Saccharomyces cerevisiae S288C: one gene and its partners. The gene in region 4 interacts genetically with the main gene of each other region. Each region holds a gene or a part of one and is shown on either strand. Other genes may lie near its edges.

Evidence for each region.
Region 1: of KIN4 (region 4) and SPO12, changing one suppresses a phenotype caused by changing the other (phenotypic suppression), as found in Saccharomyces cerevisiae (4 studies listed by BioGRID, with this or other methods).
Region 2: of KIN4 (region 4) and BFA1, a mutation in one rescues a mutant of the other (synthetic rescue), as found in Saccharomyces cerevisiae (9 studies listed by BioGRID).
Region 3: of KIN4 (region 4) and BUB2, a mutation in one rescues a mutant of the other (synthetic rescue), as found in Saccharomyces cerevisiae (9 studies listed by BioGRID, with this or other methods).

Annotation. Positions count from the first base shown.
Region 1 is NC_001140.6:397,038-404,433, reverse strand, and holds SPO12 (Spo12p), read right to left. Parts: upstream 3,001-7,396; coding exon 2,479-3,000; downstream 1-2,478. Other genes in the region: RTT107 (Rtt107p), read right to left, coding at 1-1,468; SPO16 (Spo16p), read left to right, coding at 1,752-2,348; MTC6 (Mtc6p), read left to right, coding at 3,586-5,166; PEX28 (Pex28p), read right to left, coding at 5,444-7,183. UniProt on the Saccharomyces cerevisiae protein: It is required for meiosis I chromosome division during sporulation. A component of the FEAR (CDC14 early anaphase release) network which promotes CDC14 release from the nucleolus during early anaphase.
Region 2 is NC_001142.9:530,091-538,737, reverse strand, and holds BFA1 (Bfa1p), read right to left. Parts: upstream 4,712-8,647; coding exon 2,987-4,711; downstream 1-2,986. Other genes in the region: KCH1 (Kch1p), read right to left, coding at 1,189-2,682; UV-damaged DNA-binding protein RAD7, read right to left, coding at 4,979-6,676; OSM1 (fumarate reductase), read right to left, coding at 7,372-8,647. UniProt on the Saccharomyces cerevisiae protein: Part of a checkpoint which monitors spindle integrity and prevents premature exit from mitosis. This cell-cycle arrest depends upon inhibition of the G-protein TEM1 by the BFA1/BUB2 complex.
Region 3 is NC_001145.3:385,601-390,984, forward strand, and holds BUB2 (Bub2p), read right to left. Parts: upstream 1,422-5,384; coding exon 501-1,421; downstream 1-500. Other genes in the region: STV1 (H(+)-transporting V0 sector ATPase subunit a), read left to right, coding at 1-375; ADP/ATP carrier protein AAC1, read right to left, coding at 1,715-2,644; ferroxidase FET3, read left to right, coding at 3,222-5,132. UniProt on the Saccharomyces cerevisiae protein: Part of a checkpoint which monitors spindle integrity and prevents premature exit from mitosis. This cell-cycle arrest depends upon inhibition of the GTP-binding protein TEM1 by the BFA1/BUB2 complex.
Region 4 is NC_001147.6:774,337-783,198, reverse strand, and holds KIN4 (putative serine/threonine protein kinase KIN4), read right to left. Parts: upstream 7,354-8,862; coding exon 4,951-7,353; downstream 1-4,950. Other genes in the region: oxysterol-binding protein related protein HES1, read right to left, coding at 1-1,205; DFR1 (dihydrofolate reductase), read right to left, coding at 1,658-2,293; IRC13 (Irc13p), read right to left, coding at 3,015-3,329; 60S ribosomal protein eL33 RPL33B, read left to right, coding at 3,794-3,812, 4,340-4,644; mitochondrial nucleotide exchange factor MGE1, read right to left, coding at 7,940-8,626. UniProt on the Saccharomyces cerevisiae protein: This protein is probably a serine/threonine protein kinase.

The DNA of each region.
Region 1 (7,396 bases), on a different chromosome or scaffold from region 4:
GGAGAGATGAATGATCCATTCCTATTTGGCCGATATTCCATCCCATGTTATCATCCAATTTAAAATTTTGAAATCTACTGTCTTTGGGGTTTAACTTGGAATTATTCATATAACATTGCTCTAACCACATATGATTTGTCACAATAATGGCATTTTGCGGGTCCAGTGACCATTTTTTTGCGACTTTGAATTTTTTGCCAATTGTACTCTTCGTGATCAAGTGTGTGTTTTTTCTTGTTAGTTCAGGTGTGCTAAGTCCTCCTAATATTTCTACTAACCTCTGAATATAAAACCTTTGGGAGCCGAAATAATTAGTGTACGCGACTGTTAATTCCTTAGAAGTAAATAATTTCGCATGAAATGGTTGGTGAATAAGTTTACATTGCGATACAGGTGTAAATTTTTGCAGCGCAAACATATAAAACAACCAACTTACGTTCCCAACATGAATTTCCGGTTTAATGCTTTTGGTTTTTTCTAGTATCGGTGAGTTAGCAGAGTGGCCGATATAACAGTCAATATCAGGAAAAGCTTGGTAAACAGACTTCAGATCGTCAGAAAAACTCAACGGAGTTACTTTGCCGTCCAAATCCTCGATAAATCCTTTCAAAAACCAATACAAAGGTGTGAAAAAGTTTAAATCTGGTGAGATAGCAAAGTGGTGATTTTTGAATAAAGTTTTGTTTGGATGAAGAGTAAGCTGCGATGATGATGTCTGCTTATCGCCAATAACCTCTTCCCATTTTGCGAATAACTGTTCCTCACTGGTGTCCTGCATATCAAGCTCACACAAAGTAGCAAGCTCGCCCTTCAAGGGCTTCGCCATTTTGAAATGATATAATATCCATATTGGATAGACAAATTTCCACTCTCTCAAAGGCTTTTCGGTGTGCTTGTTGGTCGATGAAGAGGAAAAAGAGCCAAATGTCAATTTACTGACCGTTGCTATGATCGGGTCCTGGGGACTTTGAACAATCACATGCGTCGTTCTATTTGAGATGTAATTGACTAAAGTGCCTCCTAATAAATGAAGCAAATCAGAGTATAATATGTATTCACACTTATTAAACGAGCTTTTGGAAATATATACTTGACAGTCTCGGAGCAAATGAAATGGGTTAGGTGAATACATATTTGTCCTCAAATGTCTCTTCGTCTTGACCGAATCCTGGACCCAAGTGTGTGATACCACCGGGATCAAAAGATCGAAATAAACTATCTTATAAAAAGGAAAGTTGATTGTATTACTAATGACAAAATGTACTGTTTGCGGGCCGAATTTGTTCATGAACCAATCTTTATCCGTCTTGACATCTTTCAAATTTTCGTTATAAAGCTCGTATATTTGACAGTTATTGCATGAATTATCCATCAAAAGCTTTCTAGTAGAGTGAGCGATGGGAAGCTCAGCCTCTGCTGCCACTAAAATTAAAAAATTTAGCTGCTCAAACAGAAGTGATGTGCTCATGGATCGTATATTTACCAGTATGCTACCTCCTTGAAATCTTGCCCAATAACCTAATGACTTCCATTGAATATACAATATAGAACATTGTGATGTATTTATTTATTGGCAAAAAATGTGACGCGAAAAACAACATTAGATGAGTGAAAAAGAAAAGTCACATCTGATATAGCTTACCCTGTTAACGCGTGAAAAGTGGGCGGCTAAAACCGAGAAAATACGAAATAGTGTAAAGGTTCAAGAGAATAAACTTCTGGAACAACATTTCTGGAATGGTTCAATAGAAATGTCTGAATTCTTTTGGGATGTACAAAAAATACAAGAGATTTCTAATGTCGAAGAACATTCTGTGGTTAAGTGTGTTACTGTGAATACGAGCAGGTTAATTTCGCAGCTTAACGAGGAGCTACAAGACGAAGAAAGTGGCGTCAATTTTATTGTTACACAGCTGCAATTACTGATAAATAATGTCTATGAGAAAATACAGAAAAGCCCTGGAGTTCCCGCACATCGTTCTCTGATGATAAATTTGAATTTCACGCGCTTGAAATTCTCAATAGCTTATTGGGATATCTTATTGGAGAGGTCACTAGATCTAATAAATGGACCATCGAAAACGGGTGCCCGCTACTTTATTACAGAGGTTACACCAGTAGACAGAAGTCGATATGTTGAAAACAATCAATATTTTCTAGCTTTTAAAGCTAACCAGCGTTTGACACGGAACAGCGTGGATATGGACGAGTTTATTGATTTTGAAATTCTAATCAAGCAAATAATTTTCGACCTCTTCAAAAAAAACGGAATTCCAGATCAAGATTTTGAAGCCATTTTATCAAGGTTTCATAATTTGGAAAGCTTGGTGGTTGCTTTTAATGAATAATAAAAAAAATGTAAGAAAAAAAAAATCAGGTATTGTTGAATTATTATTTACTTATTCTTTATGTACTCGTTTGCTTATTGGTTTAGTGTAGCATTTGGCTATTTTTGGATGACTAGAAAGGCAGATTTTTTTAGTAGAAATACTCCTCATCTTCATCGATTTCTACATCCTCTGAATCGGCAGCAAGGTTGCCTTTAAAGTTCAGTTTCATAGGATTGACTTTCTTTTTCTTTCCGAACATCTTAACTTTGTGCTCATTCAATTTCAATGAGCATGGTGATACCAGCCTGTCAGTCGGTGATGCAAATCTTTGTTGTAGTTGGAGTTTCCTCTTCGGATCCTGTTTTAAAAGATCCCTTTTGAACATTGTCTTTTTTACCAAATTGCTAGTGGTGTGTGACGACTTCAAGTTTGAAGTGCTTTTTTTCCTAAAAATTCGAAAGGCCGCAATCTCCTCCTCTAAATTAGGTATATTCTCTTTATTGGCGTCCTCTCCTGTCTTCGCCGATTCATTGTAATTATTGATGTTATTGTGGTGATGGTAGTTGTCGTTGTTGCTGCTGCTGCTTCTGGTGATTGTGTTTTCTCTGGTAATATCAGTCTTGAGGATGGAAGCCGTGCGTGCTGATTGGTCACTTGCCTTGTTGGACATAAATACGTTTTCTATTGTTCTTACTGTATATGTTATTTTGTTTTCCTACTAGAAGTATTCCAAGATAGTAACTAATCTGAATGAACGTTTGGCTGACCTCCTAAAAACTAGTTTGAAATGGCGCTTTAGACTTCAAAAGGAGGAATTCTCCTCTTGTGGCAGTATTGTTTCATGCTTTTGCTTACAATTTTCATTAGGAGAAAAAAAGGAAAGATGCCCTGTTTACATATTTCCAAATTAGGAAAAGATATTAACCATGGCGAACTGCATTTCAGACCTGCTTTTTTTTTTCTGTAACCCTTTTAAATTAGGGTTTGCAATTTTGGCATTTTTCTTTTTTCCACAATGGGAAGAGGCAATACAATGGGAATCATTGAAATTTCCATAAATGTTGATGAGTCTTTGGCTGAGCAAGTCACATTGAAGTGTTCGCTGCACGGTGAGATACACCCTGTTTAACTTTATTTGTCACCTTTTTGCTGGTATTTTTTAGTCGCTTTTAACCTCGCTTTTTCAAAGACTATCTCCATTCTATTCTTCCCTTTTTCTTTTGTTCATTTGCATTCGCATCGTTATAGACACGGTATGTGGATACTCATATACCTATTTATCATATGGTCCTCACTGCGAACGTGGGTTACTGCTGTTGACTCTACTACGACAGTTGGCGATGATCTGAATGAGACCGTTTCAGCATCTGTCTGGCCGACGATGTCCCCTCAAATGACGGTGGCCTTTAGGTCCCAAAGAGATGTCATGGGAAACTTAACTATAGACCAGCTGCCGTATGTTGGTTTGAATCTACGACGGGTTCTGTTGAACAATGAGACTAGCATGGTAAATGAAGGTAATAATACAAGATTACTGACTTTGTTCAAATCTATGCTATCCTCCGAAGCAAATGCTTTTGTCCTCGACTTGGAACAATATAATAATGATTTGAGAGTGGTAGATACGACATTGTTATTTAGCGACGTTCTAACTGCTTTACAGTCATTCATCTTCAGCACACAAAACAACCTCTATGCGAATATCATTGTACTGTTGCTGAATATATCAGCTCCTGAACTGGATTCCACAGAATACCGCCACCAAAACCAAACTTTGAACACTACTTATATACTGGACAAAAATTTAGGAAATAGTTTCATTTACAAGCCTACGGATTTACAAAGTGATAGAGCAAAGAATAATACCTGGAACATCTACGGAAAATCGTCCATTGACGGTTGGCCCACTCTGGGCTCTGTGCTATATGAACAAAAGAAGAGACTGGTTATAGGTGAGCTGACCGATTTTTTTAATGAAACTACTGCTCCATATATTTTTCCTCATGACGTCTTTCATTATGAGCAGGGGAACTCTACATTAGATTGCCCCTCTACTGTAGAGGGTCTGACTGATTTATCATCTATCCATTGGAGATTCTTAGATTCGCTGTTCAATTCCGTGGACATCAAAGAGTATATTTCGTGTGGTTTATCACCAATAATAAGCAATTCAGCGTACGTCAATAATGTGACGCAGTTAGCAGATATAATTCATGAAGGCAGCGTTTGGTCATGGGATAGTGACCAACCTTCAGTTACTCAGTCAACTTCTAAATCTGGCAGCTCATCCGGGACCTTAGAGGCTTACAATTGCGTTCTCTTGTACTACTTTGCTAACAATGAGACAGTAACATGGCGAGTAGGTAACTGTTACAATTCTAATATTGGGCTCTGTAGATATGAAAATATGGCATTCCGATGGTTGGTGAGATCAAATAAGGCTACGTACTTTGATTTTGATAGTTACCAGGGATCTAAATGTCCCGATCAGTATTCATTTAATATTCCTAGAAGCCCATTGGAGCAGAGATCGTTTATTGCATATATGAGGAATTCCTCCTTCTCTGACACACAAATATGGATAGATTTGAACTCTATATCAGTAAGCAATTGTTGGGTAAGTGGTGGTCCTTATGCTAGTTGCCCATATGAAAAAGTCATTTCTAGGAGAAATTTCGTAACAATGATGGTCCCTGCGTCAGTCTGTTCCTTTGCCCTACTGTGTATTGTCGTTTACTTGAGTGTATTGAGGGTCCCCATTTATGATAATAGAAAAAATTGGAGAAGAGTTATCAATAAAATCTCTAAATCCGAGCTAGAAGGTGTCCCTTCTTAAAAATCACTTTTTTTCTGACACTTTAGAATTTTCTCAAGTTTTACGACATTAAAACTCAAGTAGTGCTTTTTTTCGTTTCATTTATTATTAATTCATATATAGCATTTCTTAAAACAAAACTGTATTATTTATACTTCAAAAGCGCATTTTTGTATTTTACCTAGTAATATTGATACATAACATTTTTTTTTCTAATATCTTTAGGAAAAAAGTACGTAATACAATGATTTCCCCAAGAAGAGGGGTGGGGTTGTAGGTGAAGGAAAACAATTGTGCATTATGCTACTGGTGTTGCATTCTTAATAACACGATGTATCAGTCTCCTCCTCTTGAACATTGGATCAAATAAGAATTCGCCGGTAATTGGCAGATTCAACCCACGTTCTACCACCCACCTATCCACATCATTGTCAATTTTCCACTCAAAATTAGGATCAAATGACCAGCCTGTGGGGGGAATAACATCAGCCAAAGAATCTACTCCCGGTGGGAATTGCTGTGCTCTTCTATACGGATCTTGAGGATCGAAAATTCTATTTGAATATCGGAAAAACTTCCAGTCGTTCGGCAGTAAGGCCTTTTTATATATTTCAAAAATCTCGATGAATTTAGTTTCCGGTTGTTCATCGAATATCATGTTAAGCGCCTGGTGTTCTCTTTTTTTCAAGTTTTTGTATTCTTTTCCCATTGTTCCTGTTTTGAAAAAACTTATTATTTTTGGATGAGCTCTTGGATGCATATATATCAGTAAGCACCAGGCGAATATGCTACATACATAGCTCCAATTCACAAATGGTGATAATATTTTTAAGAAAACAATCAAAAGAAATCCTGTAAAAAAACGTTTAGTGGAGCACTCTTCGTTTTGAAAACTAGAAGACTTACGAAGAAAACTATTGATTGCCTCAATAACATGAAGGGTACCAGAGGTCATGTTTTGCATATCGCGTAAATTAATTAGTACTTTCATTCCTTGTTTCAATTCCCCTGTGTTTTCGGTTCTTTTATCTAATTCTGATATTTCGTCTATTTCTTGATTTCTTGATTCCAAAGTGTCCATAAAAGATTTGGAGAAAAACTGTTGACCGTAGCTGTACTCATTTTTTCCCTCATAGCACACATCATATAACAATGATGATCCGTGATTCCGTTTCAGAGGATATATACTCCTTTGTAAAGGATGTTTACGCACATAGCCAGGAACTACAATACCATAGACAAAGCGGAATATAGGCAAAATTACCAAGTACATTGGATTAAAACATATCAAAGTGAATAATATTAACGACGTCACCGTCCCGGTAGGGTTTCTCCAAGTCAGCAGTCGAACTATGGAGTCCTGGAGTTCAAATATTGAGCCCATTTTCTTAGACAATTTTTTGAAATTACTACCCAATGTAGTTGCTGAAAACACGGGAACCCTTCCTGTGTCTAGATCATGCTCAATGGTGGTTTTGCTACTAAAATGCTCTCTTTCTGGTAGCTTTTCAGGGACCAACCTCGATATTAGTTTATCCAAAAATACATCGATAAAAGGATCTTTTTCACTATTGGAAGTCATAGGTTCTAGAGCTGGCCCTGATTCGGTTTCATCGTCATAATATTCGGGCGCGCCCTCAAAGTGCGCTGAACACTTGAAAACACCATCGCACTCCCTGCACTCTTGCTCTCCATACGAATCATTTACTGAATATTCCGGAGTACTTGATACTTCTGATGAGTGGGCAGTCTTCAGGCGCTCAATGGACGTACTGAATAATGAACCAGCAATTTGTTGGAGTAGTTCCTTTTTGCTAATGCCTTGGCTTGTTGCGGAGGAGGCGGTTAGCGAAGGATGGCTCATCTCAGAATTTCCGCTGGAGGAGCTTCCTGATAGATCTTCTGCTACAGTTGGCGATTTTGATATTGCTGCTTCTGCCTCCAGTATAGAATCCAACACTTTATTGTATTTGCCTGCGAAGTAAGATTTGACAGCGTCTTTACTCGCGCTCCTGCGACTTGAGCTGGTCTCACTCATTTGCTGAAGATATATTATCTCTTTGTCACCCTAAATACCTGCGTTTTTATCTTATTCATTATGGTTCTATCTACTGATGACTCCAATTCGTAGGCATTCGTCATATTTATGTCTATCATGTCACAATAAAAGGGAAGTTCATCGCGGCGGAAATAATAAAAGCCATTCCACTAACCCTAAATAGCCCTTACTTATTTCCTTTTTCTTGAAATT
Region 2 (8,647 bases), on a different chromosome or scaffold from region 4:
TTCAACTAGTTATTACCACTGTGGCACTCTTTCTGCGGTAAGATTATCTCATCGCAAGGTAATATCGTCTGAATTTTTTCTATAAAGAAACGAAAAAAAAAAAATAATCAACGTTCCGTACGGGACTCGAACCCGCAGTCTTCTCCTTAGGAGGGAGACGCGTTACCATTACGCCAACGGAACCAACTTGGTTGAACTCTAAGAAATATGAGGTACCTAAGTTGCATAGTAATATTATTACGAAGCACTTCAAATTGAATGAATAAACTTCGTGCAGAAAACTTACACGATGGAAATCAATATTGTAGAGAATGTGGATTTTGATGTAATTGTTGGGATTCCATTTTTAATAAGGCAATAATATTAGGTATGTAGATATACTAGAAGTTCTCCTCGAGGATTTAGGAATCCATAAAAGGGAATCTGCAATTCTACACAATTCTATAAATATTATTATCATCATTTTATATGTTAATATTCATTGATCCTATTACATTATCAATCCTTGCGTTTCAGCTTCCACTAATTTAGATGACTATTTCTCATCATTTGCGTCATCTTCTAACACCGTATATGATAATATACTAGTAACGTAAATACTAGTTAGTAGATGATAGTTGATTTTTATTCCAACAAATATCCGCCTCATTTTCTACTTTCGCTTAAGCTGCTGTAATGAACCCCTAAGGTAGTACTCATTTAGTAGTATTCATGTTACTAGTATATTATCACATACTGTGTATGAAGATGACATAATATTGAGAAACAAATATCAAATCTATTGGAAGCTGAAATGCAAGGATTGATAAAATAATAGGATAATATGACAAAATATCAAAGAAGGAATAAAAAAAAGATGTTATTATGTTGAACTAGTGACACCCTTTTGTGGATTCCTACATACCCAGAGAGAACTCCTAGTATATTCTGTATACCTAATATTAAGTCTTTACCAACAATGGAATCTCAGCAACTATAAAAAATTAACCTATCTCTTACAAGCAAATGTTAAAAGGGGTTTTCAAAGAAACTTTCATGGCTGTTATGTTTGTGCTATAACCGGTATCAATCCAATATATGAAAATAGTGTTACAAAAAAAGTATTATTTTTATCAGAAACATACTAACGGCTGTTTCTAATCACGTCTATCTAATTCATGAAATATGCAAAGGGCTTTTGCCAGCCTATTAAGTATAATTATATGTACGATCTTCATCTTCCAGCAAACCCTTCCTCGGAAGATCAGGCTCCCTGAAGTACGCTTTCATTGGTGTATAAATCCTTCCATTATCATTCGAGTCAGCTTTTGAATTAATCGAACTTTTTGTCTGTAAAGGAGGTGGTCTAGGTCTACTACTGTTGCTATTAAAATTACGGATGTTGTTTGTTGTATTTGGCATAGAATCTAATGGCCCGTGAAACTCCATAGAAGTTGTAGATTTTAATTGTCCAGCAGAGTGTATTTTGTTGAAAATGTCAGAAGAAGACAAATCCTCATATTTTGGAGTATTTACGCTTCTGCTTTGTATTTTTGCTTTCTTTATATCATTACTTTCATAGCTGTTGATATATGGTGAATCTAGAATCGCAGAGAATCTAGTGGTATATTGTGGATTGCCATTGTCAACGAACGATTCCATTGTTTCCGTTTTCTTCATTGTGGGAATGGGCCCACATACATCCTGACTTTTGTATTCGGGTCTTCTCTCTATTAGCTCAATCATAGAATCATTATTAGAAGCATATGACGTATCATTAAAAGATGTTTCAATTTTATTTTCAACTTCTTTAAAATCGTCAAAAGTCTGAGATTCGAGAAGACCTGTCTTATAAATCGTGTCATCATTTTCCTTTTTCCTTTGTCTTTCAACAAGTTCATCAACATTTTCGCTGACGGTAACACAAATGTACTCACGCAACCCGCTATATTCCTGATCATTGATTATTTTATAATAAACAAAAATCGAGCAAATGACAGCAAGCAGAAACTTGAAGACAAATAATGCCCAGATTATAAAGGAAAATAGCATCAGCGACAATATCACTGCTTCTTCATGATTGGTCTGGCCAATGTTCTTTATTTTGTTGATCAAACCGGTAAATGATTCCAGATCGCCTAGATCCTCGTTTTTATTTACTGTTACGAGAACTGACCACAGCGTAAGACCATTAATAACTTGCCTTGGGGTATCCGTGAAGATTAATCTAATACAATCTTTCAGTTGAAAAAAAGTAAAAAATGTCATTTTCTGTCGAAAACCCTTTCGTTCGATCATATTATAAACACAAAACTTGGAATAATTGAGCACTGAATTTAGGTTTCTGGAAAAATTGTTGACATAAGTCAAAGAGATATTTCCCGTTTTGTAAATCCTCATTCCCGCTATAGCCTCCCATATCAATAGCACAATCGATGCTAAAATACAACCGCTAAACAACCATTTGGATATTTTAAAGGGTAAGTATGGTTTGATGATGTTGTTTGACCAGGAGTTGAATGCCAGCAATTTGATACATGTGTAAATGTCAGAAACAAAAAGGGCGAGTTTTAATCCATTCCACCCAACTACACCTATTATGTAATTTAAAACAGTTTTGAACTTGTGGTTTCGAAATAATTCAATGTTTAAATCGGCGAAAGTCTTAGAATTAATGGAGTACTTCCAATCATGGTTAAACATTTTTGATTTTCTGTTCCTGCTAGTCAAATATTCATGAAATTACCAAAGTGTTTGCTAAACAAACCATAAAGATCTGTTTTAATAATCATCAAGGGCTCTTTTGTTTGAAATGTTAATGTGTCCCTCATGGTCTATTTTCATTTGAAACATCTATTCGAATTTTCTGCAACATTTCTTTTTCTGTCAGACGCGAAATGTCGGCGAAAAGTTGACACGATTCAAGGTTCTATCTAATTTTGGAATGTAAGAGAAATGAATGTACTCAAGATAACGGTAAAGAAACAGTTATAAGAAGGCTAAAGGGCTAATCTTTTGTCGAATTGATTACCATGTTCCTGATTTCATACATATAGGATTTTCTCTTGCTATTGACCGTACTTTCATCCATGATTGTTTCCTCATCAACACTGATAATGGTCTCATCTCGGGGTATAAACCATGAGGCTAACTTTTTACACCACCTGTTCTCCTCGTGGTAAAATTTTTCCAATGCTCTTGAACTCAAATGGAAAGTAGAGCTTATTTCTGGAGTTTCTGTTGTACCGTTAAGTGTCCTCATTGAATGGTATTTACGGAGTCTTGCTTGAGCAGCCGTACTTTGATAAACGCCATCATTGTCATTTGAAACAAATGGCGTATTAACTTGGCTTTTGGAACGCAAAAATGGTGAGGAGCTACGTTTTTTCATACTTTTGCCAACTGGTGGTAAGTTTATCTCAGGAATGCCTGCAAAAGGGTCTGCTTCTTCCTCTGAAACACTAACCCATCTTAAATTTTGTTCATCTAAAATCATGTTCCCGATGACCTTTTGATTTCTCGAAGTGGCTCTTGCATGCTGTAGATCAGAATATTTTTGCTTCTTAGAATCTGCATCTCGTTGTAGCTTGTTTTTTATCAATAAAGCTTTCCTGTTTGCCGTGTCTACATCACTAAATTTGCTTAAGACGTTTTCATTTCCTTCCCACTTCATAGTTTTCGGGTTATATATCATAGAACCTTTCTTCATTGGAGTATTATGATCAATTTGCTGTTTTATTGTTTTGATTTTAGCTGGACCATTGAGTTGTACATTTTGATTAGAACAGTGTCTTACTGATCGTTTTTCTTTAAAAGAGTCCAGTTCCTGCTGGGTATTCCAATCTCGTTGTCGCCTATGAAGACCTGGAGTTAATAATTCGTCATGCTTTACTATATCATATTGTGCAGGTGATATTTTTAATGGCAAAGATGAGGATGACTTCTTTAAGAAACGCGGATGGTCGGCACTTTCTTTATCGTTCGAAGAAATCGTTTCATCAATTGCTTCACCCTCTAATTCTTCAAATCCTGTCAGAAAGTCACCTTCATCATCTGAACTGAATTTCGCCAAAATTGTGTCCTGCGTATCGTTATCAATCTTGTAATTAAACTCTCGTTGATCTTCTCTTTCTCGTTCTTCGTCCTCTTCTTCTTCTCTGATAGCTGGATTAACTAAAGCTAAGTTAGGCATAGATTTCTTAAATCTTACAGAATTACCAGACCTTAAGTTTCTTGAAGTGACGCTATTTGATAGTTTTCTTTTTGGTTTCAATTCCATCATTGATCTAGGTTGCTTTAGCCTTGGTTTATCTTCCAAACTCAGTTTTCTATCAAACTCTTCTGCGAAAATGTCGTTTTTGAAAGGGCCAGTTCGACATCCATTTCTCAAATGAAAATTTGTTTTAATAGCATCGTCAAAATCATCCTTTTTATTTTGGAATTCCTGGAAGTCATTTAGAAATTCATCATCCTGGTCTACCTCCATGTCCTGATCATCGTCTGCTTGCTTATTAGACCAAAACGCGCTGGTACTATTGGAAAATACCGTGCCAGTGTCAGAAGTACCTACCGAGGATGGAGGCGGTATATAAGTTGATGTACTCAATGGTGGCACGTTTTCTTCCAAAGTTAATGTTTCATGGGATTGAAAGCGAGGTAGAGTTGTATTCAGTTCTTCAAAAGAGGTTTCTGGCTCATCTAAACCGTTTAACGTGAGAGGCCTAATTGACATAGCATACAAAACTTTCAACTGCTACAAAAGTTTTCGAACTTTTTTCTTTACGTCAAACTTCTCGTTTTTTTCCTTTTATCTGCGCTGAATACATAAGTTTACACTTTTTTTTTTACTATTATTGTTTGTTTATTATTCGCGAGATGCCATAAAATCCCTTCAATAGAAAATAAAGGCAACATTTGACGATCTGAGTATAATAGGAATAAAAACATTAGTCAATTTTCCGTTTTCTATCTAATACACGTTTTATATGTCTTTATTTTATTATATACTGTCACTCTGTCTCCCTATCAACGTAAGTCCAGGCCTCATTGTGGCCTTTTCAGTAACCAAATTGTCTCCGAAAACATCAATTACAGTTAAATTCGGATTTTGCTCACCCAACATTTGAATCACCGAGTCATCAACACAACGTACAAAACCAAGATCAAGATACGTCAGATTAGGACAGGCTAACGCCACAAATGCCTCCTTAGTTAGCTCTTTTAATGAATTGAGATTTAAGCTTCTCAGACTATCTCTTGCTCCGTTAAGCAATAGCTCTATAATTGCCATATCGCCCAATTGTAGACATCTTCTAAAGCTGCATTCAATCAAATTATTCAGTTCTACTTTGCTGAAAAAGTACGACAGTGAATCTGTAGTGATCTGATCTGATTCTTCCAAGCTCAATACCTCCAATGGACATTTCTCAGGAATGAATGCAGTCAGACCATTGATTATCATTGAATCTGTCAAGTCAATACAGCCATTCAAAACCAATTTACGTAACGTGCGCCCGATTTGACCTAGCAGATTTATGATGATCTCATCGTTAACATCCTCTTCATTGAATGGATATTCAATACAGAGACTGTGAAATTCGTCGTTGACTAGGTACTGCGGTAATAAAGCGTAATTTGATATAGAATCTAGTCTGGATAACCCTAAGGATACCAAGGTAGAACCGCAGTTGATCAATAAATTAGATAATGATTTGTCGGTGAAGCGGTGCGTATTAGAAATGTGGAACTCTTCTAATCTACCTTTCATTATTACAAAGAACTTCTCCCATGTGTCCTCGTTGATCAGAAATGGTCCATCTAAATTCAGTGATTTCAAGTTCGGAAGCTTTTCAGCAATGTAAAGCAATGATTCATGGTTCAACTGCCCACACATTTGTAGGGATAATTCGGTTAGGTGTGGCGAAAAAATGGCTAGCGTTTTGTAACCATCAAATGAAATTTTAGAACAATCGCTGAAAGTTAACCTTTTTAGATCTGTCTTCAAGAAAAGTTGCAGAGTATGATCATTCAGGGCCCTATTCTTCGATAGTGCTTTTGCCAAATTATTCAAATTAGCGGTTGATACGCCACCAAGGACATCTCTCAATTTGTTAAATACCAACTTTGATGATTCATCAGCCTCTTTTTGCCACTTGGATATATTTTCACTAATTTTCGTAATACAAAGACTTTGTAAGCTGGATACTTTGTTGACGCGTCTATCCAATAGGTCAGCTGCTCTTTTACGCTTTCTGCGACGATTTTGGATAATTTTTGCAGTATTTTGCCTTTTTTTAGTCAATGATTCCCGGTCATTAGCCGAACTTAAACTGACTGGCGTGTCAGAAATGTGGCTAGTTTCATATTCTTCTTCATCACTATCAGCAGGGACTAATTTCATCCTGGCATCGTAGGAAACCTGAGCTCTTTCTGTCTCGGTACCACTACCTGTTCCAATTTCATCAATTTCTTCATCTTCAACTACTCGAGATATCTCGGCAGTAAAGCTATCATCCTCCGCTTTACCTTTTTTTTCGTCTGTTGCATCTTCTTGCTTCTTCGACTGTCGCTGGTACCATTTTTGTTTGATATTTTCAGCACTGATCCCTTCTTCTCTTAAAAATTGAGTCAAGGCAGAATTTGGTCCCTTAACTTCATTTTCTCCACCTCTTTTTGGTCGGTTTCTACTGCGATACATTTCTTCCCCTCTCGTGATTTCTAGATAATAGCTTATACAAAGACACTTCGGAGTTACTCTAGGACTATTTCAGTTTTTTTTCACTAACTTCGTCCCAATCCTTTATTCCATTTTTGCTTCCATAAATAAGTTTTCTTATTTTCCAGAAAAAAAGAAAAGAAACTGCGCAAGCCCGGAATCGAACCGGGGGCCCAACGATGGCAACGTTGGATTTTACCACTAAACCACTTGCGCTCACTAATTGTTAAACGTGTCAATTATGTGTACAGTTACAAAATAATGAAGCACAAGAGACCCTACTATTACGTTAACATAATTTACTGCGCAAGAAGATAATATGAATCGTGTAGAAAAGTCATTCAGTTTGTTAGAAGAGGGAACATTGACATTGATAATGTAAAAGGATAGGCAATGGTGACACTTCAACGCAAAGAAGAAATTGCAGTATTATCGTGTAGAATCATGCTCTCTCTTGTAGATTCCTATATCGTCGGGGAGAAACCTCTACCATATTCTGTAAACCTAATACTATAGCTTTTCCCAACAAGATATATTCTTCATTTGGAACTCCAAAGAAAAGAAAAAATCGTATATCGTTACGGAAAGAAATAGCAAACAGTATATCCTATCATGTCGCATTAATTATTGAAATGTAAAGTACGTTGCAAAAATATCTTTTATTTCCCTATAAATTCTCAGTACAATTTTGCTATGTTATCCGCAGCTGTCTTTCCAAAGACAACACACTCTAACAAACTAGATCCACCCAATCTGTTGGCTCCATGAACACCACCCGAAACTTCACCAGCAGCAAATATCCCATTAGATAGAACGCTTTCCGAATTTTTCTTAATTACCTGAGATTTCTCATTAATTTTCACACCACCCATTGTGAAATGAACAACTGGTGTAACTTCCCCAACATAAACAGTTGATTCAGTCGAAATATCTTTATCAAAGGCATTGATAATCAATGGCCTATCAAACGTATCCTTAGTATTAACATCGGAATAGCTCTTCAGTTCAGTTACCAGTTCAGAAGCTGTAGTTTGTAGGTCATATTGTCGGATCAGATCGTTGATTGACACTTTTTTGATTAAGTTTTTGGACATATAAAAGTTTATGTTATTCGTATAGTTCTCGTAGACTTTGTCGCTCATTACCAAAAGTGCTCTATTATCATTTTTCGGACATTTAGACTGTATTTCCATGGTTACTGTATCTCTGGTGCTCAATTCATTTGTAAACCTTCTTCCAGTGGTGGGATGCAATAAGATGCCGCCTAAACCCCTCAATGCCTCTGCAGCCAAAAACTTCCAGTTATTTTCACGGTCATTTGGATCAATGAAGCCGGTAGGGTGTACCTGCACTTGATCCATATCAATCAATTCGGCACCCAACTTTGAAAGGATTTTTTGACCATCACCTGTAGTCTGTTTGCCATTAGTAGTTGGCAAGTGAATCAAATTTGGTGAGTACTCTTTCAACATTTCCTTAGAGTAACCAAATCCACCTGAGCAAAACACGACATGGTGTGACTTCATGATTTTACGGTTTCCGTTCTCGTCCATATATACTACACCAGTAACATGACCTTGATTATCAAGCTCGATATCCACTACTTCACTGTTTAGCATAATCTGCACGAGATTGGAATCTTTGGAAGAGATATCCTTTAGTTTTTTTGATAACGCTTGCACGATTTCAAAACCTGGTGGTAATTTGCCAGAAGATCTATGGGTCCTTGGAACAGAGTGACCGCCCAATTGCGCAAGGAGGTCTAATTTCAAATCGAATTCTGTTTGCAACCACCTGATAGCACTCTTGGATTCCTTAGTCAACTTATCCATCAGTGATGGAACCCCTCTGCCTTTAGCCGAATGCAAAGTATCTTTCAAAAACAATTCGGGAGTGTCCATTACCTTTAAATTTTGTTGAGTGTCTGTGTGAGCACCATTAATACCACTAGAA
Region 3 (5,384 bases), on a different chromosome or scaffold from region 4:
AATTTCGGCGATGTCATGATTCATCAGGTAATCCATACTATTGAATTCTGTTTAAATTGTATCTCTCATACAGCATCATATCTACGTCTTTGGGCACTATCGTTGGCGCATGCGCAATTATCTAGTGTTTTATGGGATATGACAATTTCAAACGCTTTCAGTTCTAAAAACTCAGGGTCGCCTTTGGCTGTCATGAAGGTGGTTTTCTTATTTGCTATGTGGTTTGTTTTAACCGTTTGTATCCTAGTTTTCATGGAAGGTACTTCCGCAATGTTGCATGCGCTACGTTTGCATTGGGTGGAGGCAATGTCCAAATTTTTTGAAGGTGAAGGATATGCGTACGAGCCATTTTCATTTCGTGCAATAATAGAATAATAACCTTAAATTACTGTAAATTTTCTCATCTACCCACTGCTTTTTTCGTTTTATTTTTTTTTACACATACAGACATATAAACGTTGTAGAATTAAACGATAAAATATAATATTTCTTCACATAGTTTACGGTATATATATGTCTGGGTCGGTCAAGTGGTCTACCAATAGGTCATAAATTTGAGCAGGGATCTTAGCGATGAACCCGACGCCCAGCCGAATGATCTCGTCAGCATCAAAATCCGGAAACTGTCGTAGTAAATTAACAGGGGAATCCGATTTGAAAACCTTGGATCTCATTTTAACTAGGAATGCCACCACAAAGAGAATATTCATATGGAATCCATATGCAAACATGAAATCCCACAGTTTAATGACCTGATCAAGCGGTTTATTGCAGCTGGATAACGTGAGTATGGAAGGCATACCATAAATCTCTGCTGTAAGTAAATTGTCCGATAGAAATTTACTCAGCTTTGGATCAATGATTCTGAGAGAAATATCTAGTAGTTTGGCGCCGTTCTGGGCGCCGTTTAGGTTCTTAGTTAGATACGTCGGTATCATTTCATAACAAAGCTTAGTGAAAAGTTGATACGCCATAGGTTCAGAAGGACATGAGTAAAGCAGAGGAGCTAATAACACGTTCATGCCCTGCACATATGTGCTCACAGGAATGCGACCAAAACGAGTCTTTTGTCTTCTTTGTTGTGTTTGCCAAGCAAAGCACGACAGACACCGGATGAGGGCATCCTCTGAGACTCTATTTCTAAAGTTTGGATCCGTCTGAAAAGTTCTGGATGTGTCGTTCTTGATTTTTTGGTAAATGGTTGTGGAAGGTGGGCCCAGTTTCAAGAGCGCAAGGTACCGTTGTGTAGACGCCTCCATAGAAGTTTGAGAGAGCACCGTCCACACGTAACATCGCGTGCGCTGCTGCTGTTTATCTTCAGATATGGGAAGCCCTTCACTGAGTATGAGGTAGCGAAGTTGAGAGAGTGAGGAATGCAGTAGCAGGGGAGGATTTGATATCAGATCTTCAATTGAGGTCATGCAAAAGTTAACAAGTTTAAAAGTCTGTTGTTTCTTTTACCTTTACGTCGTTACTATTATTACTATTATTATCATTTTTTTTTTTTTTTTTTTCAATGTTTAGCTTGGCGTACGTAAACGGTTCCCTTCCGCACGGCGTTTACTGAATTGTCAGGACATAAATTCAAAGAAGAAAGAAGACCTCCAGTGTCATTATAGCATAAGACAGGTATGTAGCAAGAATGAATATGTAAATAAATAGCAAGAATATGTAGAATTTTTAGATTTTATTCGTTTGTTGTTTTCTTTTTTTTTCACTTGAATTTTTTGCCAAACATTATGAGTTGCAACTGATCGTACAATGAGATGACACCAGCTGCAGCGACTCCTCTAAATATGTTGGCACCACAGCCCTTGAACAAGGAATACGCGCCCTCTTTCTGAACAATCTTTCTCAAACAGTCCAGAGCACCGTCGTACTTGATGGTCTGGCCCGAAGTCATCATCATCCTTCTTCTTACCGTATCCAAGGGATACGACGCAGTGGAAGCACCCATGGTAATGACCCAACCTAATAGGAAAGAGGCAACAAAGGACCCCTCTAGAGCCCCCGTCAACAGCACAGGCTTGAAAGAATCGTACAAGCCAAAGTACAGACCTCTGTAGACAATGATACCCAGAACTGAGGGCACAAACCCACGGTACAGACCCAACAACCCGTCCGTTTTCAGTGTCTTCTTATACACGTCTAGCAATCCATTAAACTGTCTTTGCGAGGTTGACTTAGAACCCCTAGCATCCGCTGCAAGCCGCGTCCTTGCGTAGTCCAAGGAATATACAAATAGAAGCGACAAACCACCAGCCGCTCCACCAGAGAAAAGATTTCCAGCAAACCACTTGGCATACCCATCGCGCTCTCTGTCGTAACTCAACAACGACTTAATTTTGTCTTTGAAGGCAAAATTCAGCGCCTGCGTGGGGAAATACCGGAGAACATTGGCGGTGTTACCCCTCCAGAACGACACAATACCTTCATGAGTCGCAGTCCTCTTGAAGCAATCTAAAATTCCCTTGTACCGTGTATCCAACGAGCCCTGTTTAAGCATCTCTTCTTGATTCTGCATCAACAGTTTCACCCGTTCAATGGGAGCGGCACCCGTCTTCGCAATGGCAGCAGAAACGCCGCCCATAAGGAAGTCCACACCGAAGTGTGACTGCTGAGTCTGTGTTTCTGTGTGAGACATTACTGCTGTAAAAAGGAAAAATAGAAAAGAATAACAGATACGAGAATCTGTGCTGCCTTCTTTGCGATAATGCCTTGGCTTGCCTATTTCACGGTTACAGGAATAATAACATGTTCATACCGTTTCAGGACCAATAAATGGTCTTCTGCGAGAGAAAAAGGACACTCTCCGTCCGACAGAAATAAGCTTTACTTTCCGGGTGCGAATCAGCCCGTTGCGCCTGGGGTGGTCCCTACAGTACGCTGAGTCGCCGATAAAGACCCTCCGCCTAGAGCTAGGCGAGGCTGACTTAGGCAGGCCCAACAGGCAAGGCCCATCTTCAAAAGTGCACCCATTTGCAGGTGCTCTTATTCTCGCCAATTGCGACAGAAAATGAAGGATGCACTCAAACAGTCGATCCTTCGAGGGAGTATGCCAAGGCCTCGTGCATGTAGTGCGATTATATATATATATATATATATATATATATGTATGTAAGCAGGCCATGCCCTATAGCTCTTGTTCTATAAGCGATGGATAGGCATAGGAAACGAAGAGGACCCCAGTGTAAGGAAGAGTAGCAAAAAATTAGAACTAGATGACTAACGCTTTGCTCTCTATAGCCGTTTTGCTTTTCTCGATGCTCTCGCTAGCACAAGCGGAGACGCACACGTTTAATTGGACCACTGGCTGGGACTACAGGAACGTTGATGGGCTAAAGAGCCGTCCCGTGATCACCTGTAATGGCCAGTTCCCATGGCCAGATATAACGGTCAACAAAGGTGACCGTGTGCAGATTTACTTGACCAACGGAATGAACAACACCAATACTTCTATGCATTTCCACGGTCTCTTCCAAAACGGAACCGCCTCTATGGACGGTGTGCCCTTCTTGACGCAATGTCCAATTGCGCCAGGCAGTACTATGCTTTACAATTTCACGGTGGACTACAATGTAGGCACCTACTGGTACCATTCACACACGGACGGTCAATATGAAGACGGGATGAAAGGTCTTTTCATCATCAAGGATGATAGCTTCCCCTACGATTACGATGAGGAACTTTCTTTATCGCTTAGTGAGTGGTACCACGACTTGGTCACGGACTTGACGAAGTCGTTCATGAGTGTTTATAATCCGACAGGTGCTGAGCCCATCCCACAGAACTTGATTGTTAACAACACGATGAATCTGACATGGGAAGTCCAGCCCGATACGACGTATCTTTTGAGAATTGTCAACGTGGGTGGGTTCGTTTCGCAGTACTTTTGGATCGAGGACCACGAAATGACCGTGGTCGAAATCGACGGTATCACTACCGAGAAGAACGTAACGGATATGCTTTACATCACTGTCGCTCAGAGATATACAGTCCTGGTTCACACTAAAAACGACACGGACAAAAATTTCGCCATCATGCAGAAATTTGATGACACCATGTTGGATGTCATTCCAAGTGATTTACAGCTGAATGCAACCTCTTATATGGTCTACAACAAAACCGCTGCGCTGCCCACACAAAATTACGTGGATTCAATTGATAACTTCTTGGACGATTTCTACTTGCAACCGTACGAGAAAGAAGCCATCTATGGCGAGCCAGATCATGTGATTACCGTTGACGTTGTTATGGATAACTTGAAAAACGGTGTGAATTACGCCTTCTTCAATAATATCACCTATACTGCACCAAAAGTTCCTACTTTGATGACCGTTTTGTCTTCAGGTGATCAAGCAAACAACTCCGAAATCTACGGTTCAAACACGCACACTTTCATCCTAGAGAAGGATGAAATCGTGGAGATTGTGCTAAATAACCAGGACACAGGTACCCATCCTTTCCATTTACATGGTCACGCTTTCCAAACCATCCAGAGAGATCGTACATATGATGATGCCCTAGGTGAAGTTCCTCACAGTTTCGATCCGGACAACCACCCTGCCTTCCCAGAATACCCAATGAGAAGAGATACTTTATACGTTAGACCACAATCCAATTTCGTCATCAGGTTTAAAGCCGATAACCCAGGTGTTTGGTTCTTCCATTGTCATATCGAATGGCATTTGTTGCAAGGTTTGGGTCTTGTTCTCGTGGAGGATCCTTTTGGTATCCAAGATGCTCATTCTCAACAACTCAGTGAAAACCACTTAGAAGTTTGCCAGAGTTGCTCTGTGGCCACTGAAGGTAACGCCGCTGCCAATACACTGGATTTAACTGATTTAACTGGTGAAAATGTTCAGCATGCCTTCATTCCTACCGGTTTTACCAAAAAAGGTATTATTGCCATGACATTCTCCTGCTTTGCCGGTATTCTTGGTATTATCACAATTGCAATTTATGGTATGATGGATATGGAAGATGCGACCGAAAAGGTTATTCGAGACTTGCACGTGGACCCTGAAGTCTTGCTAAATGAGGTTGATGAAAATGAAGAGCGTCAGGTAAACGAAGATCGTCATTCCACTGAAAAGCATCAATTTTTAACTAAAGCCAAACGGTTCTTCTAATAAAGGAAGATCATGTATTTTGCGGTTAACCTGTTTTTTTTTTTTCGGTCAAGGGTTCCAAATGCATTTGCATGTAAAGTGAATGCCCTTGTCTTACTTAATATTACATAGACATATACTTAATAATCTACCACGTTTCAAATTCAATAATGCATGCTTCTTGGCGGTTTTTGACATGAGATCCTCATCTGTCACGAGGCTGATGTGCATACTTTTACTTTTAATCGATGACATGATCAGTTTCTTTTGAAC
Region 4 (8,862 bases):
GTCCCACTTGGCACATTTTTCACAGAAAGCTGCAGTTTGGACGCCAATTTCCTAAAGGCATCATCTTCACTTGCTTTCTCTACATCATTTGATGTATTTTCATTCATGTAGTCCACTTGTTTGAACCATCTTCTTTGCCATTCCACACCTTTTACGCGTTCTTGTTCTCTCAAGGCTCTTTGCTTATTTTCTAGTTCTTCCTTAGTCTTTTTTATCATACTAATATTTCCTTGTCTGATTGCTTCTGCCACATCCTTCCATGCCCTCCTACTTTCCAGAGGATGTTGTTCTTCGATTGGCTTAACTAATAAATGTTCAGTAGGAGTTTCCGATGAATCGTAAAACTGATGTGAAACTTGCGAGTCTTTTTTTATAATTGTTGAAACACCTGACCATTGGCCAGAGATTAGGTATAGCGCATTTTCTTTATGACTATGCTCTTGTGGGCTTCTGTAAATTCTTGCCTTAAAGGAGTTCTTCTTCCCTGTGAAATACCCCCTTCCTGAAAATTCTATAACACATAACATACCATTTGATGACTGTATGAATGACCTGCCTCCTAATTCAACAAATGGAGAAGCGACTAAAATACCTTCGATATGCAAAGGCGGGGTTGTAATCAGGTAGGTCTCATCTTTAATCTTCAAAATGACATGCCCGTATGGTTTGACCGTTAGCGTCAATGTTTTGGTAAAACCAGTTTTAATTTGATTGTATCCTTGAACAGAAACATCATTTTTTTCATTAAAAATCGAAAATGCTGTCATAGGTGGATGATGTGAAACTTGCTCACTTAAAAGAACCGTTTCACCAAACTCTGGATGCTCATCATTTTTCCACTTTCCAACAAATACCTCACCCAAGAATGGGTTCAAAGGCTTCTTTTCAGAACCCATCGATTCGCTTCTAGAGCAGTATTGAGATCTCAAAGTAGAAATAAACCACCTAACAACCGCCAACATCTGCGCCACTTCCTTTGATTCCACATTTGGGTCAAAGGGACAGTGATCTTTGTAGTTTTCACCATCAATCAACGAAGGCTCCAGAAATAAAGCTGGATGTTCAGCCCAATACTGAGAAAACTCTGTTAAGGAAGTGGGAGAAAGAATAAACGGTGGTGCAGACAAAGACGATAGATCTCCGTTGAACGAACTTATCGATTTCAAAAAAGAAGTCCAAGAAGATGAGCTTGCGTGTTGAGACATTTTCGTTTGTAATCTAGCAGGATACACTTAGATGACTTAGATATATGGAGCTTCAAGTAGGGAAAGAAAGATCGGACTCAGACAGGTTGAAAAGAAGACCCAACTGGATCCGGGACAGCAAAGTACAAAACAAGATAGTTTATAAACCTTCTCTTTTAACGACTGTTTGACGGCATACCTTGCTCTTTTGTTGAATGCAGGGAACGAGGCCAAAACAATGGTTTTTGTTTAAGCGCGTCAAATTCGACAATGGTGATCACAAACGATTGCTATTATTTAACATAGCGACAGGCGTTGTTGAAGAAATACTGCAGGTGAGGCTGAAAGGTCGTTTAGGTGTCAAACGGTTACCCTACGAACAGTTCGCGTCTTGGAGCCCAATAAAAGAAAATGAGGCTTATCAGTTCTATCACTATTTAACATATTAAAAAAAATATACGGGCGGAGAGGTTTCATTTACGATTGTATAGAGTGAATTCGAAGCAATAACCTTTTTCTTCCAGCGAGTAGCGTTGATCACAGTCTGTTTCGGGCAACTCTACTTTAGGGGGAAGAAATTCTTTCAGCTGGGCCGGATCTTGCTCGCTAAATACTTCTTCCAATTTCTTCGCATCAAGGAAAGTGTCCATTGCAGGAGTTGCGTTTTTATCTAATGGATTTATTTTCGTGATGAGCCAATGATCTGTAATGGAGAAGATTTGACTATAAACTTCGCCACCCCCAATCACGTAGATTCTTTCCAGATGCTCCTTAAAATTGCTTTCTAGGTTCATTATTGCGTTTGCCAATGAATTACTTTGGACTATTGATCTCTCTTTATCGTGGACAAAATCGTCCTTGAAGCTTCTCGATATAATGACATTCATTCTATTGGGCAGTGGGCGAAACTTGGGCGGTATGGATTCCCATGTCTTCCTTCCCATTATCAAAGCATTTTTTTTGTTTGGATCTTTCGTCAATGAAGTGACCTGTCTGAAATACTTCATTTCACTGGGCAACCTCCATGGTAGACCTCCACGAAATCCTATCCCCATCTCCGGCTGTAAACATGCCACAATTCCTACAATAGGAATCTTTCCTCCAGCCATGCTCGTAGTTCGTTGCGCTCTTCAATTTCTCTTATTATCATGCAAAGCATAATGTTAACTACAGAAAATAATGAAACGTTTCCCTTTGGCCAGCGATGCCATCTCACGCACGTAAGGATGCAAAGCGATTTTTTTGTTTTCGCATCCGTCGCTCTTGACGAATTTTAGGTGGAGTCATACTATCAAGAACCTATACATTAAGCTAACCAAGACTACATTTAATTATACTTACACACCAACTAATCCAATTTCTTAACTGAAAACCAAACCTTTGGTTTTAAACAATTTAGAAAAGGAAAAAAGTGGTTAACTTGTCAGACTGCCATTTGTACCCACCCATAGAGCCCTATCCCTTCAAAAAAGAAGTACATAGGATGGGTCAAGATCATCGCGCCATAAAATATTGTAATTACTTCCAAAGGAAAAAACTACAAATGCAACGGCAAAGCAAAATTTTTATTCAAAATTATAGATGGCCGAACCGCTAAGGATTGCGGACCAAGCTAATTTAGATTCAATTTCGGTTTCTCACTCTGGGGTACAAAGGTTATGGGACTCATCAACCAAGTTGGATTCAGTGGCTCTTTTGAAGAGTCAAAGAGTGACGATTCCTATAGAAATGATCCTACTGTAGAATGTGTTAGTCAAAAGCTGCTGCAATGGTTGAATTAAATTTTTCAAAAAGCCTGCTCCGAAATGAAAACTCTAGTACCTAAGACTTTTAGATGCTATAGTTTTCAAATCCTGGTTTTTTGTGGGTAAAATGTTTGGGGTATATTACATACTGAAGTACGTCGACACAGATTTTAAGTAGAAACAAGAAGAAAACATAAGAGAAAAGATGTACTAAATCTAATTGACAGCAGAATACAAAGCCTTTATATATGTCTGGTGGGGGAAAGCAAATGAGAAAATTTTCAGGATTTGCCTTCGCCTTAAGGCGCTGTATGTGAAAAGAAAAAAAATCAGGGTTAATAGTAAAAGGTATGTGGGGTATGGGGGGGTGAAAAAATTTTGACGGCCTGTATAAACCCATACAATCAGCCCATACATACTACTGATATTTTTATAAAAAAAGAATCAATATTTTTTTTGAAACGTACGGTATATTGTGAGAAAGCTTTACCGGTAGACGGGCAATCAGAATTTGTTCTGCCTGGAGACCGCTTCTCTTTACACCATCTTCTTCCGGCCAGTGCAACAGAGCGTCACTGCTGGGGGGAACTCTGCCTGGGTACCATGTGCTTTTCCTTCTATGACTTTACCCATCCATGGTGGTTTGTGCTGGCCTCTCCATGCCTCTGCGTGCAGGTGTGACATGTGAAGGGTTCTTGCTTTCAAAGTAACCTCTGTACCGTAGTGAGGCTACCTATGGCTTGCACCAGTTACGCTTAGCACCAGATTTTGAAAAAACGATTATTATAGCAGATAAAGGTCCGAAAACAGTTTCTTTGCTTAAACAACCTTTGCAAAAGTAGAACCAGATAAATCATAGATAAAATGGCTGAATCCCATAGACGTATGTTATGAAATTACTATATGATGAATGTTGCCGTGGAATAGGCTGATTCGAGCTTAGAAGACATTATTGATATTCGATAAAACATGTGTTATAGTTGGGGCCCGCACTTGTTGGACAACTGTTATTAAAGAGTATGAATATATTAAATAGTGCATGGTTTTGCGATGAGAAGAACAGAATGAACAAGTTTCATAGGAAAAAAATTCAAAAGAGAAAGGTATTATAAATGATCAGTTTACCTTCTAGGGAAAGAAGAAGGAGATAACCTACCTGATATGAAATTCCACCAAGTAGTAGGAGGCACCAGGAAATGCATTTTTACATGAAACTGCGCGTGCCAGAAATGTTAAGATAGCGTATATATATGTCATTTGAGGTCGCTTCTGACATAACTGCGTCCCTTTCCATCATGGGCTCAATGAAATGTCGAATTATTTCACTCTGCAACGTGCTCATGAAAGTACAACCTTACTAACAGCTTTATTTATGAATTGACAAATTCTATTCTACTTTTATTTTGATAGTATACGTTAAAGGTAAGCACTTATCCTACCAAAGATCTAAGAGAGTTAACAACCCAAATGTCTCTTTGATTAAGATTGAAGGTGTTGCCACTCCACAAGAAGCTCAATTCTATTTGGGTAAGCGTATCGCCTACGTTTACAGAGCTTCCAAGGAAGTCAGAGGTTCCAAGATTAGAGTTATGTGGGGCAAAGTCACCAGAACTCACGGTAACTCTGGTGTCGTTAGAGCTACCTTTAGAAACAACTTGCCAGCCAAGACTTTCGGTGCCTCTGTCAGAATTTTCTTGTACCCATCTAACATTTAATTAAGTTAAACCAAAACAAAATTATAATTATTGTTATTAATATTGTATAAAATATAAAAAATAAGCATTCATATATATATCCTTATTCTTTTGTTTATATTTTGAGTTCTTACTCCATTTCGTTTCATACAATCTTTTCTGCAGGTAGTGACAGTAAGACTTTTCTTCTTCTTTCTCTACCAGGAACATGCAGTGCGTTAAGCAATATTTGGTGTCCTATCAAAAAGACTGTTAAAATTCAAAAAGAAAATAATATTATCACTCTATAATATAATGTAATTGTCGATATAACTATGTACTGAAAACTCAAACCCTCATGCTCCTTCTTTTGAAAAAATTCAGAACCTTTCTTGCTGTTGAAGTCTGTGCCTCGACATTATTCCCTTCATTCGACAATTCCGATCGATTTTCTTCTCGTAGTGTTGACACCATAACAGAAGCCCGTACAGACCTTCCCGGATTCTCGCTTTCAGCATAGCTAGGTGCGTTGTCTCTTATTCTATTATCATTAATTTTCTTATCGGGATTTGGAACTCTGTCGGAAAGGTTACGTGGTTGCTGCTGAGTTATTTTAATGTTACTTCTATTCGATTGTCCTGATGGATTTCTAGATGAAACAGGAGGTGCATTCCCTTTTGAGGTACGAGATTCAACAGTGGATCTTGAACCATTTAAGGATGAGTACAACGACATGAAGCTGAACCTTTTTTTTTCGTAGATCTTTTTACTATCTTTATCAGAAGAAGCGTCTGATTTATTAGAAGAGTGGCCAACATTCTCCAGCTGAGATTCTACATGATCTTCATCGGTGGAGTTAGTGGGTTCTTTCGTAACTAATATCGTTGAGGTACTCTCTGGGTCGATGCTCTCTCGAGGAAAACCATTTTCAGCTGCTTTATGAGTAAGGTCCTTATTAATTTTGTCGATAACCTCAGTTATGGGTTTGTCACCATGGTTTAAGTCGCCAATAGCATAATGGTAATCTACTGGGGAAGTCTTTGCAGCCGGACCTTCTGATAATAGCATAATGGAATTGTTGGAGATTGTAGCTTTGTTGGTATCGTGTATTGCGTTCAACGGTACCGGGTCTTTGGCATCTGTCAACCTACCATTCGAACCCAACTTATTTACTGGAATATCCGCTAAACTATTATCCGCGGTGTTACGACTGAGTCCAGGATAATATGAAGTTGGCCTAGGTCTACTGCGAGGCACGTGATAATTACCAATACGGTGGAATTCCTCCTGAGTAAAGCTTGTCTGACTAGAATCTTTTACATGCTCAGTAAGCTTTGATGATGGTGCATTCCTTGTTCTTGCAGTTGTGGGGGAGCCAGGGATTGTTACGAGTCCCGCGACCGATGTGTGCTTATTGCCTCTGGATGAGTGTCTAGCTGATACTTGTTCTATTTGGGTCTGGCCGTTGCCCTTCGAATCACGTGTGTACCTGCATGATGCACTAGTACGCTCGCCATTTATATTAGATTCTTTCATGTCATTTTTCGTATCGTTTAACACCACTTTGGAACCAGTAGAGAATGTTGGTGATGCTGGTCTGCTGGTCGCAAGCTGTGGAGACATTCGATGTTGCTCTAGAGTCGACTCTATAATTAAAGAGTTTCTATCCCTACTTTTTGAGTACGAAGATGCTGATGAAGAATAAGTTGAGTGGCGACCAACGTCACCTTTGTTTGGCGGTTTCGGACGTTCCTTCTGTAAGTGTTCATCCCAATAGTTCGGCTGAATGCTCAAAAACGCTTCATGAGGCTTCAACCACACATGCCTTTTTATTGTTTGTAAGTTTATTCTTCTTCTTGGATTGGGTACCAGTATTCGCCTCAGCAAATCTCTTGGAATAGGGGTTATATATTCGGGAAATTTAAGAGGTGTTTGCGTGATGTATTTGTACAGTCTAGCAATATCGTCACCCGTTGGATTTTCATGATCGTCATCCCACGGCAAATATCCAGCGAGCATTGCATAAAGAATAACACCACACGACCAAACATCTGCCTTTCTTGCTTCATATGCCTTGGTACTAACAACTAGTTCTGGTGCTGCATAACAGGGCGAACCACAAGAAGTTTTCATTAATTCGTTATCTTCAAAAAATTCATTCACAAAACCAAAATCCGTGATGACTAAATTTTCGTGCTTATCTAATAATAAATTTTCCAGTTTTAAGTCCCTATGAACAAGTCCTTTGTAGTGCATATAATTGACCCCACTAATTAATTGGGCAAACAATCTGCATGCAGAAGATTCCTTTAATCTCCTCTTACGTTGAATATACTTATAGAATTCTCCCCCAGATACAAACTCTAGCACTATTCCAATGTATTTCGAATTCTGCAGGACCTCTTCTAAATAGATAATGTTAGGATGAGTTAAATGCTTCAGTGCGTTAATTTCGCGGTATATTTTAATTTCTTTATCGGCATCTTTCTTGATTGTATCTCTTCTAATTAATTTGATTGCCACTTGCTTAGGAACCTCGTTCGAGGAGGAAGCCTTGGTCCAACCCAGCTTAACTTTACCAAATTCTCCCTCACCCAAAGTGGAACCGATTATGTATGGTCCGAAGGTAGCATGTTTTCGCTGATTTTTATGTATAGGATGCAAAATCTCATTGTTTCTTTGAAGAGAATGACGGTCCCTATCAGTGACAACGTTGCCACCGTATGTATGGCGTTTAGGTACAGAAGCCATGTATATATATTCAGGTATACGGAATGTCCTGATAGAATATTATGCGATGACTTTACCTGTGAAAAGGTGGCTGGATTTCCTCGAGAAAATAAAAGGTGTTTTACTTGAAAATCACAGTAAGCTCAATAAACAGTGAACTTGCTAAAAAAATATGTACTAAAAAAACAACTAATGCGTTATTGTCTTTTCAAACCGTATATCTTCAGTAGAAGTTTATGCTCTCCCACCGATGCGATTGTTTACAACAGATAATATTTTTCTGCTCACGTTCCTAATGAAACTCGCCGTCATTGTTTACAAAAAAATAAAAATGGAATTGACCAGTCCTCAAGAAACAAAAGTGTCTTCTTTAAAATGTATACGAAAGTACTAAAAATTTGTCACCCTTGTATATTATATGCCTTTCATTAACCCATATAACACCAGTTTTTACAGTATAAAAGCATGTTTTGAGATTTATTTCTTTATATTTTCATTAGTTTACAAATATATACAAGTAAACGTAGTAAATAAAACTAAACCAGGCAGAGAAAGAAAAAAGGCACATATAGATAAAGTCGTAGGTAGTAATAATTCTTCATCAAGGTTAGTTCTCTTCGCCCTTAACAATTCCGACTTTTGCTGGTCTGATAACTCTGTCATTCAAGGTGAAACCTAATTGTTGTACATGGAAAACAGTACCCGGTTCCTTATCAGGTTGTGGCAACTCGAACGTTGCTTCGTGTTTATTTGGATCAAATGGTTCTCCCAATGGGTCTAATTTTTCAATACCGTGCTTTCTTAGGGTGTTTTCAAAAACATCTCTTGTCATTCTAACCCCTGTATACAAATCACTAATTTCCTTGGACTTTTGTAAGTCTTCCTCTTTAAAAGCATTCAAAGCATGACCAAAGTTATCTACAGATTCCAATAAATCCTTTGCAAACTTCTGTAAAGCAAAGTCCTTAGCTTTCTGAATATCCTTCTTTGTGACTTGTTGTAAATTTCTGAAATCTGCCACAGATCTTAATAATCTGTCCTTGAGTTCAGAAGCTTCTTTAGTCTTCGCGCTTAACTGGCTCTCTAATTTCTTGATTTCTGATTGCTCTTCAGTCAAATCTTCATTGTTTTCTTTGGATTCTTCACTTTTGGCTTCATCAGAATAAAATCTCATTCTTCTCATTGAGCCTACATTCTTTGTAAATGATGGAGTCACAAAAGGAGTTCTTGGTGCCATTGGGATGAACGACTTCCTAGTTGTGGCCCTAACGGTGGCTGCTGAAAAAGCTCTCATTTTCAAATATTCAACTTACTCTTCCACAATATGTCCTTGTACTTTGGATCTAAAGCGGCACTTGGAAACTTATTATTGTTTTCAAATGCTTACGGTAATACCACGGTATATTGTTCTGGTTCAGCTGCAGCAGGCGTTATGTATAACTCATGGGAGTTACGTTTGCTTCAAACGTAAACTCGCTGGAAATTGCGTTGCGAGGTATTAAAATATCACTGAATACGTATGCCAAATAC